2 linked regions of the Rattus norvegicus genome follow. The protein of the gene in region 2 binds, or shares a complex with, the protein of the main gene of each other region. Links are inferred from orthologs where the notes say so. Each region holds a gene or a part of one and is shown on either strand. Other genes may lie near its edges.

Region 1 (5,774 bases), on a different chromosome or scaffold from region 2:
TCCAGGGCAATCAATCTCAAAGTTCTAGAAATTTGAGAGACCCTGTCTAAAAAATAAATAAATAAAAATCTTCAAAACTTGGCATGTGGGTTGGGGATTTAGCTCAGCGGTAGAGCGCTTGCCTAGGAAGCGCAAGGCCCTGGGTCCGGTCCCCAGCTCCGAAAAAAAGAACCAAAAAAAAAAACAAAAAAACAAAAAAAAAACTTGGCATGTCTGTACATCTGAAGGCGAGCGATTAGGAGGTCAACATCATCCTTGGCTACACAGCCAGTCTGAGGCCAGCATAAGATACGCGAGACCGTGTCTTTAAAAAGAATTCGGATTGTCAATCACCTCCTATATTCTTGAGTTCTGTGTGAAATGTCTACTTTAAGGCTCAAGTGACCAATTCTCATCTATTTATACCCTACTTAGGGTTCAAATCTTTCTGTAAGTAGTCTTGTAACCTCCTTCTCTAACCCTTAAATTCTTACACATACAAATGTGTATACATGCAGACATCTACACACACACATATGGCCAAGGTTTAAATCAAATGCATATAAACATCCTAGCATAATACCTGGCGCATAGAAGTTTCAATAAATACTTGTTGAAGGAATGACCTGGAGAGAGGCAGAACAGGAAAGGCCGACAGCTCTACAGAAGCCAGCAGAGACACTCCTACCAAAGTGATCACACCAAAGGATTTGCTGCACTCATTCTTTCTGGTAAACAAAGAAACAGAACCATTATTAGAATCACAGCACTAAAGAACAATAACTTAGAGGACACCTCAAACTGGAAATCAAACCTGTAAAGTGGAAAGCATATAGTTGCTGATCAAACTCCAGTGAACAAAGAATGGGTCCAGGACCCCCCCCCCCCAGCCTAGTGGGATATGAGGAGAAGGAGGAGACTAGAAAAAGATGTAATAAATGGACCACAAGTGAAAAGGTTTTACCTTGGGAAACAGAGAAAAAAAACAAAGTCTTTAAATCTAAATGTGGTGAGAAGTCATGGATGACCTGAATGAACAGAGGAGGGATAAGCCAGCATAGTTCCTCCAAACCCCAAGTCCTGCCACCTCTCAGTAGAATCCACAGAGTACAGTGGCCATCTGCCACCAGAGTAGAGATTAGCAGGCAACAGCACTCCCCTAAATCACCATCTGTATCTCAAAGAAGCCTGACTGACAGGGAGGGAAGGGGAGATAGGAATAAATTCCAGAGCCAAGAGATGAAACTGAGATCAAGTCACGGCAAATTTCATCTGGACACAGCTGCTGCTCCCGTGACCTTTGCCATATCAAGCTGATGTCAAGAAAGCATAATATTCTATTAATGAAGTTGTCTTTCCCGGCTAACATGCTAAAATGGAAGAATGCAAAAGGAATGGTATGTTAACGTCAAGCTGCCCATTCATAGTTAAGGAGCTCACGCTCTAGAGTATCTGCCTGCAAGAGAAGAAACTGTCGTTTTACAAAGCTTAAAAAAAAAAAAAAAAAAAAAAAAAAAAAAAAAGGTTGTGTCTCCAGGTGCAGCAGGGTCCAATTATGATAGGCTCAGGTCAAAAAAAAAAAAAGAAAAAGAAAAAAGGCTTAAGCTTAGTCTGTCTCGAACTATCTACGACACTTTGTACAAACCAAACCTTGTCTCTGGATCTGAGTCTCCAAACTCGTGAAATGGGCGAGTTGGGACTGAGGATGAGTTGGGACAGCCACGCAGGGCAGGGCGCAGAGAGTCCAGGAACTTGAACTTAAGGGCCTGGACACCCGAGACTCGGATGGGGACAAGAACCGCGCCTTCACTCTTACCTGCCTCCTGCCAGCTTCTCAATCAGCTAGATTAGGCCAAGTCTCCCTGTCAGCCACTCACTGCCTCCCCTTCCAGCTCGGGACCCAGGCCGGGCCGAGCTAAGGCTAACCCACCATGGCCCTGAGCCCGCAGCGCCAGCCAGCGGACCGAGACCCGCGGACAGCCCATCACCACCCAGCTGCGCAGGCGCGAGTCTCAGAGCCCGCAAAGTCACGCCCAGAACTCTGTCCCGGGGCAGCCTGGGAAATGGAGTCAGGCTTCGCTCTTACGCCTTGCGCGGTCGAAAGCGCCAATTGGTGCACGCGTAACTGCGAGGCCGCTCCTCTAGTTGACCAATAAGAAGTCGTCTTGGTTCTCATCCGGGTTGTGGACGGTGGCAAGCATGGCACCACCTGTGAGGTACTGCATCCCGGGTAAGTGAGCGGTCTCCGCAGGCAGACCCTGGCTGCGGGCAGCCAGTTTCTGGGAGCTCGTAGCTGAGGCACATGTCTTCTGCAGGCGAACGTCTGTGTAACTTGGAGGAAGGCAGCCCGGGCAGCGGCACCTACACCCGGCACGGCTACATCTTTTCGTCGCTGGCTGGCTGCCTGACGAAGACCAGCGAGAATGGCGCGGTAAAGAAAGCGGCTAGCCAACGAGCGTCACCTCTCAGGCTGCCATCGAGTTCTGGTCCTTGGGCACAGGCACTACCGGGAGGACCTGTCTTTGGTGTCTCAGAGCTTTGGTCTCCCAGCTTCTCCCAGCTCTGATCCCAGCGCTGTGCTAAAACACACCTGCTGCACACCATTTAGGTTGGGCTGGCTTAGTTGTGTAGAGACACTCACAGAAGGAGGTGGAGGGGAAAAGCACGCAAATTTGAGAATAGCCCGGCCAGCCGAGAGCTTCTTCCCGTCATGCATCTCGACTACCTCCGCTTTCTTGTGGCTCTTGTGTCCCACTTCACTGACATCAATGTAGTAATGCTGGAGATTTTCAGTGTCTTAGTGAACTAAACTCTGTTTCGAAGCCTATGCAATGCATGTACTTGTCTGTCTGGAACACACTTCTGCTCAATCCCTTTTGTTTTTTGTTTGTATGTATGGCTTTCCCAGAGAAGCCCTTCTGGACCTGCTGACTGAGAAAATGGGGGTTTTAGTGGCAGTAGGATTGTTGTGCCCAAGAACCTTCCCTGGAGCACTTATTTAAATATGTTACTCATGATAACTAGATTCTTGCCCAAGTAGAAGTTTAAGTGTAGCCATGCATGGTGATACACGAGTGTATTCCCAGCTTCTAACTGACTCAGATAAAGCAGTGGTTGACATTTGTAAGACTATAAAAACTAAGAATTAAACCTCCTCAGGCTGGGCTTGTGGCTCATCAGCACAGCGTTTGCCTAGCTTGGGACCTGGGGAAAAACACACCCTCTTTAGAGACTGGCAAAACCCAAACTTCCCACTTTGTGTTGTACTTATTTGTAAAAAAAATGGGCTCCAGTCTATTGGTTTTGGAGATAAAACTCAGCCTGTCAGTCTACTCACTACATAGATGTCCTGCCCAGTGGTGCCCTTAGTTGCTACTGGGGATAGAGTCCTGAGCCCAATACACTTAGCTTTTGTTACCAGGGAGACAGACACAAACCATGAGCAAATGCACAAACATATCTTCAAAAGAAGTGTGCGGAACAGTGAGAACATGTAACGGGCTGCATGAATTCTAGATAGTGACAATAATATTTCGGCACCTGAAGATAAGGAGAGGTGGAGGAGTGTGGAAAGAATGGATTAGACAGACAACGTGAAATGGGAGGGACTTAGTAAGGTAAGGAAACAGCACAGAGCAAGAGAGGTAAGATAATACACCAGTTGCCATTGGAGTAAAACAAGAGTTGCCATTCTATAGCATTTAATTGCAAATCCTGAAGTAAAAAAAAAAAAAGTTATAGCTTGAAGAAAGAGTCAGGATATTCATAATTATAAGCAATAGGATTTGTACCAGGAAATCCCAAGAGAGTCTTCAGTCATTTACAACTAATCAGAATGATCACATTAAACCTGGCAGCCTAGTTCTAATGGCCTCTGATCCTCTTTATTTCCTAAAATGACTAATGTCCTCTGCTATGGGCTATAAATGAATCTACAGGCTGCCTGCCCTTGTGACCTCGGCTGTTGTAAGATACCCCTGTATTATCCTCAGCCTTCAGTTCTCTTTACCCAGGGCTTACTTAGCCAGTACACTAACCTTCGTATTCTCTCCACAGCTTCCCGTGGTATCAGTAATGAGAGAGACAGAGTCCCAGTTACTTCCAGATGTGGGAGCTGTCGTCACCTGTAAGGTAAGCCGGTCCTAGTCATGATTAGGCCGAGATCCTACAACTGCCGTGGTCCGCTGCTTAATACAGTAGTCCCTAGCTAGAGAAGGGTGTTTTAAGTTTATTACTGCTAGAAGGTCAATCTCAGGGATGGATGTGTTGACTCAGCCTTTAATCCCAGTACTCAGGAGGCATAGGCAGGTGAATACTTGAGGACAGCCTGGTCTATGCAGAGAGTTCCAGGACACCCAGGGCTTCATAGAGAAACCCTGTCTCAAAAAGAAAGAAAAGAATGAAAAATTTATTTTTAGCCAGGCTAAAATATAAAATATCTGTGGTCTCGGTATTTGGATGCTGTTTAGAATTATTGAACAGTAGTCCAAGACCAGAATAGGCTACAGAGTGAGATCCTGCACCCCACAATCCCAACACTATTCACATTTTAAGTACTCGGTAGCAAATTGTGGTTAGTGGCTGCCATACTGGTTGACATATGACTTTAGTTTGGGGGGTGTGGGAAAGTGATGGACTCCCCAGAAGTACGTCTTCAGTTCTAGGAAATGATTGGTTTTGTTTTACCTCATGTGAATAGTTATCTTGTCTGTATCATATGCGTGCCTGCTACCACAAAGCCTAGAAAGGTGTGTCGCACCCCCTGGGACTAGAGGCACAGATAATTATAGGCCACCATATGGGTGCTAGGAATGGAATCCAGGTCCTCTAGAAGAGCAGCCGGTGCGCTTAGCTGCTGAGCCATCTGTCCAGCCCCAGGAAATCACATTTCTGTCATCACAGAAATTTTTGCTGGCAGGGCATAGGTGCACGCTCCTCCAATGGTGCTTGGGAGGCGGGGAATCTCAAAGGGGAGCTAGGCTGCAAGGTAACCCTCTGTCCCAAAGACGGCTGGAGGGAAGACAGACACGGCAAGAGGCAGGCATATCTCTGTGAGTTCAAGGCCGACCTGGTTTAGAGTGCCAATAAAGGTGGGGCTACATAGTAAGACCTTGCCTTAAAGGAAGCGGGAGAGGAAGGAGTAGGGGAGAGTGTGAGTCGATAAATAAAATGGCTTATCAGGCAGTCACTTTCCATACAAGCCTGCTGACGCACATAAGAATGAATCCAGGAGGGGCTGGGGATTTAGCTTAGTGGTAGAGCGCTTCCCGCAAGGTCCTGGGTTCGGTCCCCAGCTCCGAAAAAAAGAACAACAACAACAAAAAAAGAATGAATCCAGGAGAAAACCAACTCAGCAAAGTCGTCTGCTTAGTTTTGATCAGCTTGCCACATACTAGCGCTACACGGAAGGAGGAAACTCAGTGAGGATTTGCCTCCATCAGCTTGGCCTGTCTGTGGGACATTTTCTTGGTTGGCGTTTGATATGGGAGGACCCAGACCAGTGTGGGCAGCACCACCACTGGGTGAGTGATCTCTGATTGTGTAAGAAAGCTGGCTGCGTGAGCCCAGGAGAGCCAGTAAACAGCACTTCTCCAGGCCCCCTGCTTCTGTTCCCAAATCTAGGTTCTGCCGTACGTTTCTTCTACCTCAGCTCTCCCTGATAATGGACTGTAACTGTAAGACACTTCCCAAGTTGCTTTTGGTCTGTGCATTTATCACAGTAACAGAAAGTAAACCGAGGGCTGGAGAGATGGCTCAGCGGTTAAGAGCACCGACTGTTCTTCCCAAGGTCCTGA
Region 2 (5,654 bases):
CTTAAGTCAGTGGGCTGACTAGCACAGTGGGCGAGTTGGTGGCCAGAGGAGAGGGGTAGTGGTGGGTCAGAGGAGTTTTTCTAAGAGGGTCCAGAGGTAAGGGTCTAAGAATAAATGGCCAAGGGGCTGGGTGATTTAGCTCAGTGGTAGAGCGCTTACCTAGGAAGCGCAAGGCCCTGGGTTCGGTCCCCAGCTCCGAAAAAAAGAACCAAAAAAAAAAAAAAAAAAAAAAAAAGAATAAATGGCCAAGAGGCAACAAAGGTTTGATATCCTTCTAGAGCCCAAAGAGGCAAGAAAGGCCCAAGGAAAAACATTAATCCAGTGGTTCTTAACATTCTACTTTTAATAGAGTTTCTCATGTTGTGGTGAACCCCAACCATAAAATTATTTTGCTGATACTCCATAACTAATTTTGCTGTTATGTCATAGTGTAAATATCGGATTTGCAGGATATCGGATAGGAGACCTCAAAGGGGTTGTGACCCACAAGTTGAGAACCATTGCATTAGTCTAACCTTACATCTCTTGATGAGCACACATAGCCACCTCAGCCTTGCACTCATGTCTCTGAAGAGTTGTGTAAGCAAGGCACATTCCTTAGTCTGAGGGCATGAGTGAGGAACACAAGTGATGGGAGAAAGCGGACTCCATTTTGAGCCTGCTTGTCCCTTGTTTGAACTGCGATTAATAGAAATATCATAAACAATCCAGGAAGAAACTGCCCTGGGCTAGAGCCAATCAGAGAAATAGAGGGAAAGTGTCTAAAATTCCAAAGGTTACAGATAAATTGCTCATCATTGACCAATCCTTGTGCACCAAGATACCCCTTGCCAAATAAGGCAACTGACAGGCTGGAGACCCCCTCCCTGCTCAACCCTTGCTAAGTAAGGCAATCGCTATGCTGGAGACCCCCGTTCCCTGCTCAAACTAGTATAAAAACCTTGCCTAAATGAGGTTCAAGGTCTCAGCACAAATCTGATGCTTGGAGGATTCTGAGGGTCCAAGCTTAAGTGTGAATAAAGGCTTTGCTTTTGCATACAAATCCAGACCCCTGGTGGTCTTTGTGGACCCTGATATCTGGGCAGGCACAGCATGAGCACTCTTGCTCTTCCTAGCACAAGTGTTCTCTCCACTTAGGGACTGCAGTACAAACTGCTATGTAGGGCCCTGAGCTGCTTTGAAGTGCTGTACATTACAGTGTGTTCAGGAGAGGAACAGGCCTTTATTCTGGATATGGGGGGTTGGCCTCAGTCCCCCAGTAAGATAGAGGCCTCCTGCACATGCTGCCGGACAACACGATCCAGCAGAGTGTGCACATCCCGGGCTGCCTGGGCAGCAGCCTCGAGCACCTGCTCCAAGTGGTCTTCATGCAACCTCGAATCCATCTCAAGCAGTGCAATCTGGCCAGAGGCTGGCAGCAGGGCCAGGGCTAGCTGGGGCCCGCCAGCTGCTTCCTCCACGTGACTGAGGTCCGCTAGTGCTGTGCCATCCACAAAACCAGCCGAACATGCACACACAAAGTCCCGCATGGGTATCCCAGCATCCATCACTGCTAGCGTGGCTGCATTCACACATGCTGCATAGGTCCCACCGTCTGCTTGTAGCACCTGCAGGGGGCATCAGGACATCAGACATCTCATCCTCCAGCATCTCAGGCAGACCTCATCCCCTTAAGCCCCGCCCCCGGGGGAGTGGTTTGAGGCTCACCTGCACATAAATGTCTATCTGAGAACGTGGGTGCAGCTGTGTGAGGATAGCTGCCTCGAAGGTCTGGCGTAGCTGCAGCCCCATCTCACAAGACTTCCGGTCTCCATGAGGCCTTCGCTTGCGCTCACCTGTGCTGAAGGTTGCTGAACTGTACTGACAGTTCACTAGAGCCCGGTCAGGCAGAGCCCGTGACCGGGAGCCCCGGATCTGGAGGAAAAAAGAAGGAATGAGCCAGGGCCGCCTACCTCCTGGGTCACACTCGATGGCTCAGCCTTCCTCCTCTTCTTTCTAAAGTGCTTCAGAAAGCAGCAGCTACTTTGGTTCCAAACCATGGCAGGCGGTTTAGGGCTACACTTCGGTCTAAGCCGCACCACTGTCACCTTCCGCAAAAAAAACCCCTTTGTTCTTTAGTTGCTCCATTTCTTCCTAAATCATTCCCATCGTGGTCACCATGTTTACAAACATGTGATTTGACTGTGTCACCCACACACTAATATTTTACTTACCTTCCAGAAGCTTCTCATTACATGTAAAAGAAAATCTCAATTTCCCCGACCTTCAAAGCCCTGGGTCCTCATCTCCTTGGTTAACCACTCAACTTTATTTGATCTACTGTCCCTCGGTCTACCAGTAGTCTGGCCTAATGTGTTCTAGACCTGACCTGGCTTCCACCTAGAAAGCTGAGCAAATTGCTAGCAAACCTTAAAATGTGGGCTCATTGGTTAAGAGCACTGACTGCTCTTCCAGAGGTCCTGAGTTCAAATCCCAGCGACCACATGGTGGCTCACAACCATCTGTAATGGGATCTGATGCCATTCTGGTGTGTCTAAAAGACAGTGACAGTGTACTTATATATAATAAACAAATAACAAACAAACAAAAAAACCCTTAAAATGTGCATGTTTGCCGGCCTTGCTACACCACTGAGACAAAGCAGCAAAGGCAGGCAATTTATAATGTCTCTGTCTTGGGAGTTTACATTCCAGTAGAGAGACAAGAGACATGGAAGACTGAGGAAAATCGATGTAGCAGGGGCAGAAATAGCCTGGGAGGCCTTTTCCGGACAAGATGTCAAAACACTGGACTGAAAGAACAGGGACTGAGTGTAGCTTTGCCAGGATGTATGAGGCACCTCAGAGATGAAGAGGGCAGCCCAGGAGAAAAGAGGCCCACTGAGACGGAGGAGTTAAGCAGTAAGACTCATGTCCACTCCCACGATGTGCAGCCATGAGCCCCCAGTCCCTGCATGAGACAATCATAGTAGTTGTGGACAATCTGAAGCAGCCCCATATCCCACCCGTGGGATTAAAACAAAAACATAATCACATAACATAACTGGGTTCTTAAAGAAACCAATATTCTCAGTTCATCATGGGACCTAATACTTATACAAATTTGAGGGCCATGTTAGGGATGCAATTCCCCGAGAGGACTCAGAACTCGGGGTATAATTATATTCATGGCTTAGTGGATGTAACACAAAGGAAGGATTGAAATGGAAGTTAACCAAGGGAAAGAGCTCGTGAGGTGAAATCAGAAGAAGCCAGGTCCTCGCAGATGCACGCACATCATTTCCCCTACAACACGGTGGGACAACGTGTGTTGAGATGCTTTCTGCCAGGGAGGACCCCAGAAATTCAAAGATGGGATTTTAGTATACTGCTGCATAGGTAGAGGAGTTAAGCTGTAAGGTCTACTTCCTCGTCGTGCGGCCACGAGCCCCCAATCCCTGCCGCTTACTCGCCTCGTGAGGCCCGTAGACCACCGCCAGTGCCTTGGTGTTGCCCTGCTCGATATAAGCCGAGCCATCGGCCTGCGCAAACACGCCCATCCGCGCCTGAATCTTGCGCAGCTCCCCCGCGCGGCGACCGTCTATCCGGTAACCCTGATCGGACAGGAGCTCCAGCCCGGCCATGTTGCGCAGTCCTCGCTCCGCCTCCGAGAGCACGACCCCTTAGATGACCTGGGCTTCCGCGACTACGACTTCCGCCGGTCCGTTTCCTTTTCAGTCTCGGAGAGCTATAACTTCCGGTAAACTAGTCCCTTTCCGGTGCAAGGCTCGTAGCTTCCCCGGCCTGCTGAATGTACGAGTCACGTCGTTCGGTTCCGGGAAATCAAAGGCCCGAGCCGAGCTGGTTTTTGCAGCTTCTCCTCGGTTGTTGAAGTAGGTACGCCTTGAAGACAAACTTCTCTTTCCGGACGTCCTCGGTTTGTCGGAGGCGCTGGTCCCAGCGGAGACTATTTTTTTTTGGCCCTTTAAAAAACTGTATATCTATTTTTATTGTACGAATGTATTGAACAAGCATACCTGCTTGTATGTCTTTTCGTCACGTGTGTGCTCAGTGCTGCGGAGGTTAGAAGGGGGCAGCCACTGTGAGTGCTGGAATCTGGTCCTTCTCTTTTTTTCGTCTTTCGTCCGTGTGGTTTTTACAGTGGTCAGTTTAGCCAAGCACAATTTTTTGTTCCACATACACGTGATTATTATCTTTGTGGCTCAGTATTAGTTTAGTTTTTCTTTTTTCTTTTTCATTTGCTTGGTTAAATCCATAAGTTTCCCTCCCTTACCTTGGCCAGTAAGTTTTCTCTATAGCCTGGATGCAAGCACAAAGCGCCTGCGGTTGTCTATATGCACCTGTATAGTAGGTTTTGGAGTTCTGATTATTTTTAAAGATTCGGTCACTTAGTATACATTTGGGAGTGTTTTCACTCAGAATATGAAATACATAGTCCTGAGATTTTGTTGTGTTTGTTGGTGATGGGCCCTTTTTTGCTGTTGTTTGGTTTGCTTGTTTTTGGAGACAGGGTTTCTTTTTGTAGCCTTTGTTGTCCTGGAACTCCTTCTGTAAACCATGCTGGCCTTGAGATCACAGATCTGCCTATCTCTGCCCAGAGTGCTGGGATCTGAGGCATGTGCGATATCACCTGGTTGCTGTTGCTTTTTGAAAATCTTGATATGTATTTCAGGTTGGCCTCAAACTAGCAATCTTCCTACCAGAGCCTCCCTAGTGCTCTTATAATGATTATAGGTGGGACCGTGACACCTAGCTTGGAGGTATATTTTTATTGTTTGCTTCATACCTGTGGGGTAGATAGAGCAGATTATAGTCCCACTGAGTCCTCTTTAACAACCCTGTGTATTGTAGGAGCAGATAATTAAGGAATGCTATTCATTGTGGAGGGCTTGTGAGTCTTGATTCTGAGTATGTTGTCTTATTTTCTCACCCAGAATAAATAATTTTGTGGTGGTTTGTTTGTGGTGTTTTTTTTTTTTTGTTTTTTTGTTTTTTTTGTTCTTTTTTTCGGAGCTGGGGACTGAACCCAGGGCCTTGCGCTTCCTAGGCAAGCGCTCTACCACTGAGCTAAATCCCCAACCCTTGTGGTGTGTTTTAAAATAAGATCTTACTATGCAGCCTCAGTGTAGCGGGTCTTAGCTACTTTGTGGGTTCTTTTCCCAGTCGTTTATCCCTCCCGGTTTTACCTCCTGTCACTAGATAGGAGAGGAAGGGACAGGAAGGAGGAGGGTGTGGGAGATCTTTGAATCTAGTTTCTTCCTTTCAGTTTCTTCTTTGAGTACAACTACCAACAAGCAGCAGCCACCCCCGTCGATTGGAGCTTTCGCATTTTTATACTCTCTGAAAAGTTCCCAGAATTCCAAAGTCACACAATCACAGAAACTATCTGCAGCTGGCAAAACCACGCCTCCGCAGAGCACCAGGCAAATCACAGTCAGCTGCTGTGGACAGTCTGAAGCAGCCCCACATCCCACACCTGGGGTTAAAAAGAAAACAAACGCTTATATTTCTGTGTTTTTAAACCAACATTTCAGAATTCTCATTACACCCCAGCTGGCGTAGAACTCTCAGAGATTCTCCTGCGTCTGGGTGCTTAGTATTCCACTGACAGTTTAAAAAAAAAAGTTAGCTATTCGTGCTAGTGGTTGCAGGTGG

The links. The genes of interacting proteins can lie anywhere in the genome.
Region 1: Exosc4 (region 2) and Exosc1 share a complex: the UniProt entries of both Homo sapiens proteins name them as parts of the RNA exosome core complex. The link is inferred for Rattus norvegicus from reciprocal best matches to the Homo sapiens genes EXOSC4 and EXOSC1.

Annotation. Positions count from the first base shown.
Region 1 is NC_086019.1:250,691,144-250,696,917, reverse strand, and holds the start of Exosc1 (exosome complex component CSL4), read left to right. Parts: upstream 1-2,169; 5' UTR 2,170-2,178; coding exon 2,179-2,209; intron 2,210-2,294; coding exon 2,295-2,410; intron 2,411-2,432; exon of another isoform or gene 2,433-2,587; intron 2,588-2,630; exon of another isoform or gene 2,631-3,596; intron 3,597-4,035; coding exon 4,036-4,110; intron 4,111-5,774. UniProt on the Homo sapiens protein: Non-catalytic component of the RNA exosome complex which has 3'->5' exoribonuclease activity and participates in a multitude of cellular RNA processing and degradation events.
Region 2 is NC_086025.1:109,926,497-109,932,150, reverse strand, and holds Exosc4 (exosome complex component RRP41), read right to left. Parts: upstream 3,661-5,654; 5' UTR 3,623-3,660; coding exon 3,452-3,622; intron 1,915-3,451; coding exon 1,708-1,914; intron 1,608-1,707; coding exon 1,248-1,607; 3' UTR 918-1,247; downstream 1-917. UniProt on the Homo sapiens protein: Non-catalytic component of the RNA exosome complex which has 3'->5' exoribonuclease activity and participates in a multitude of cellular RNA processing and degradation events.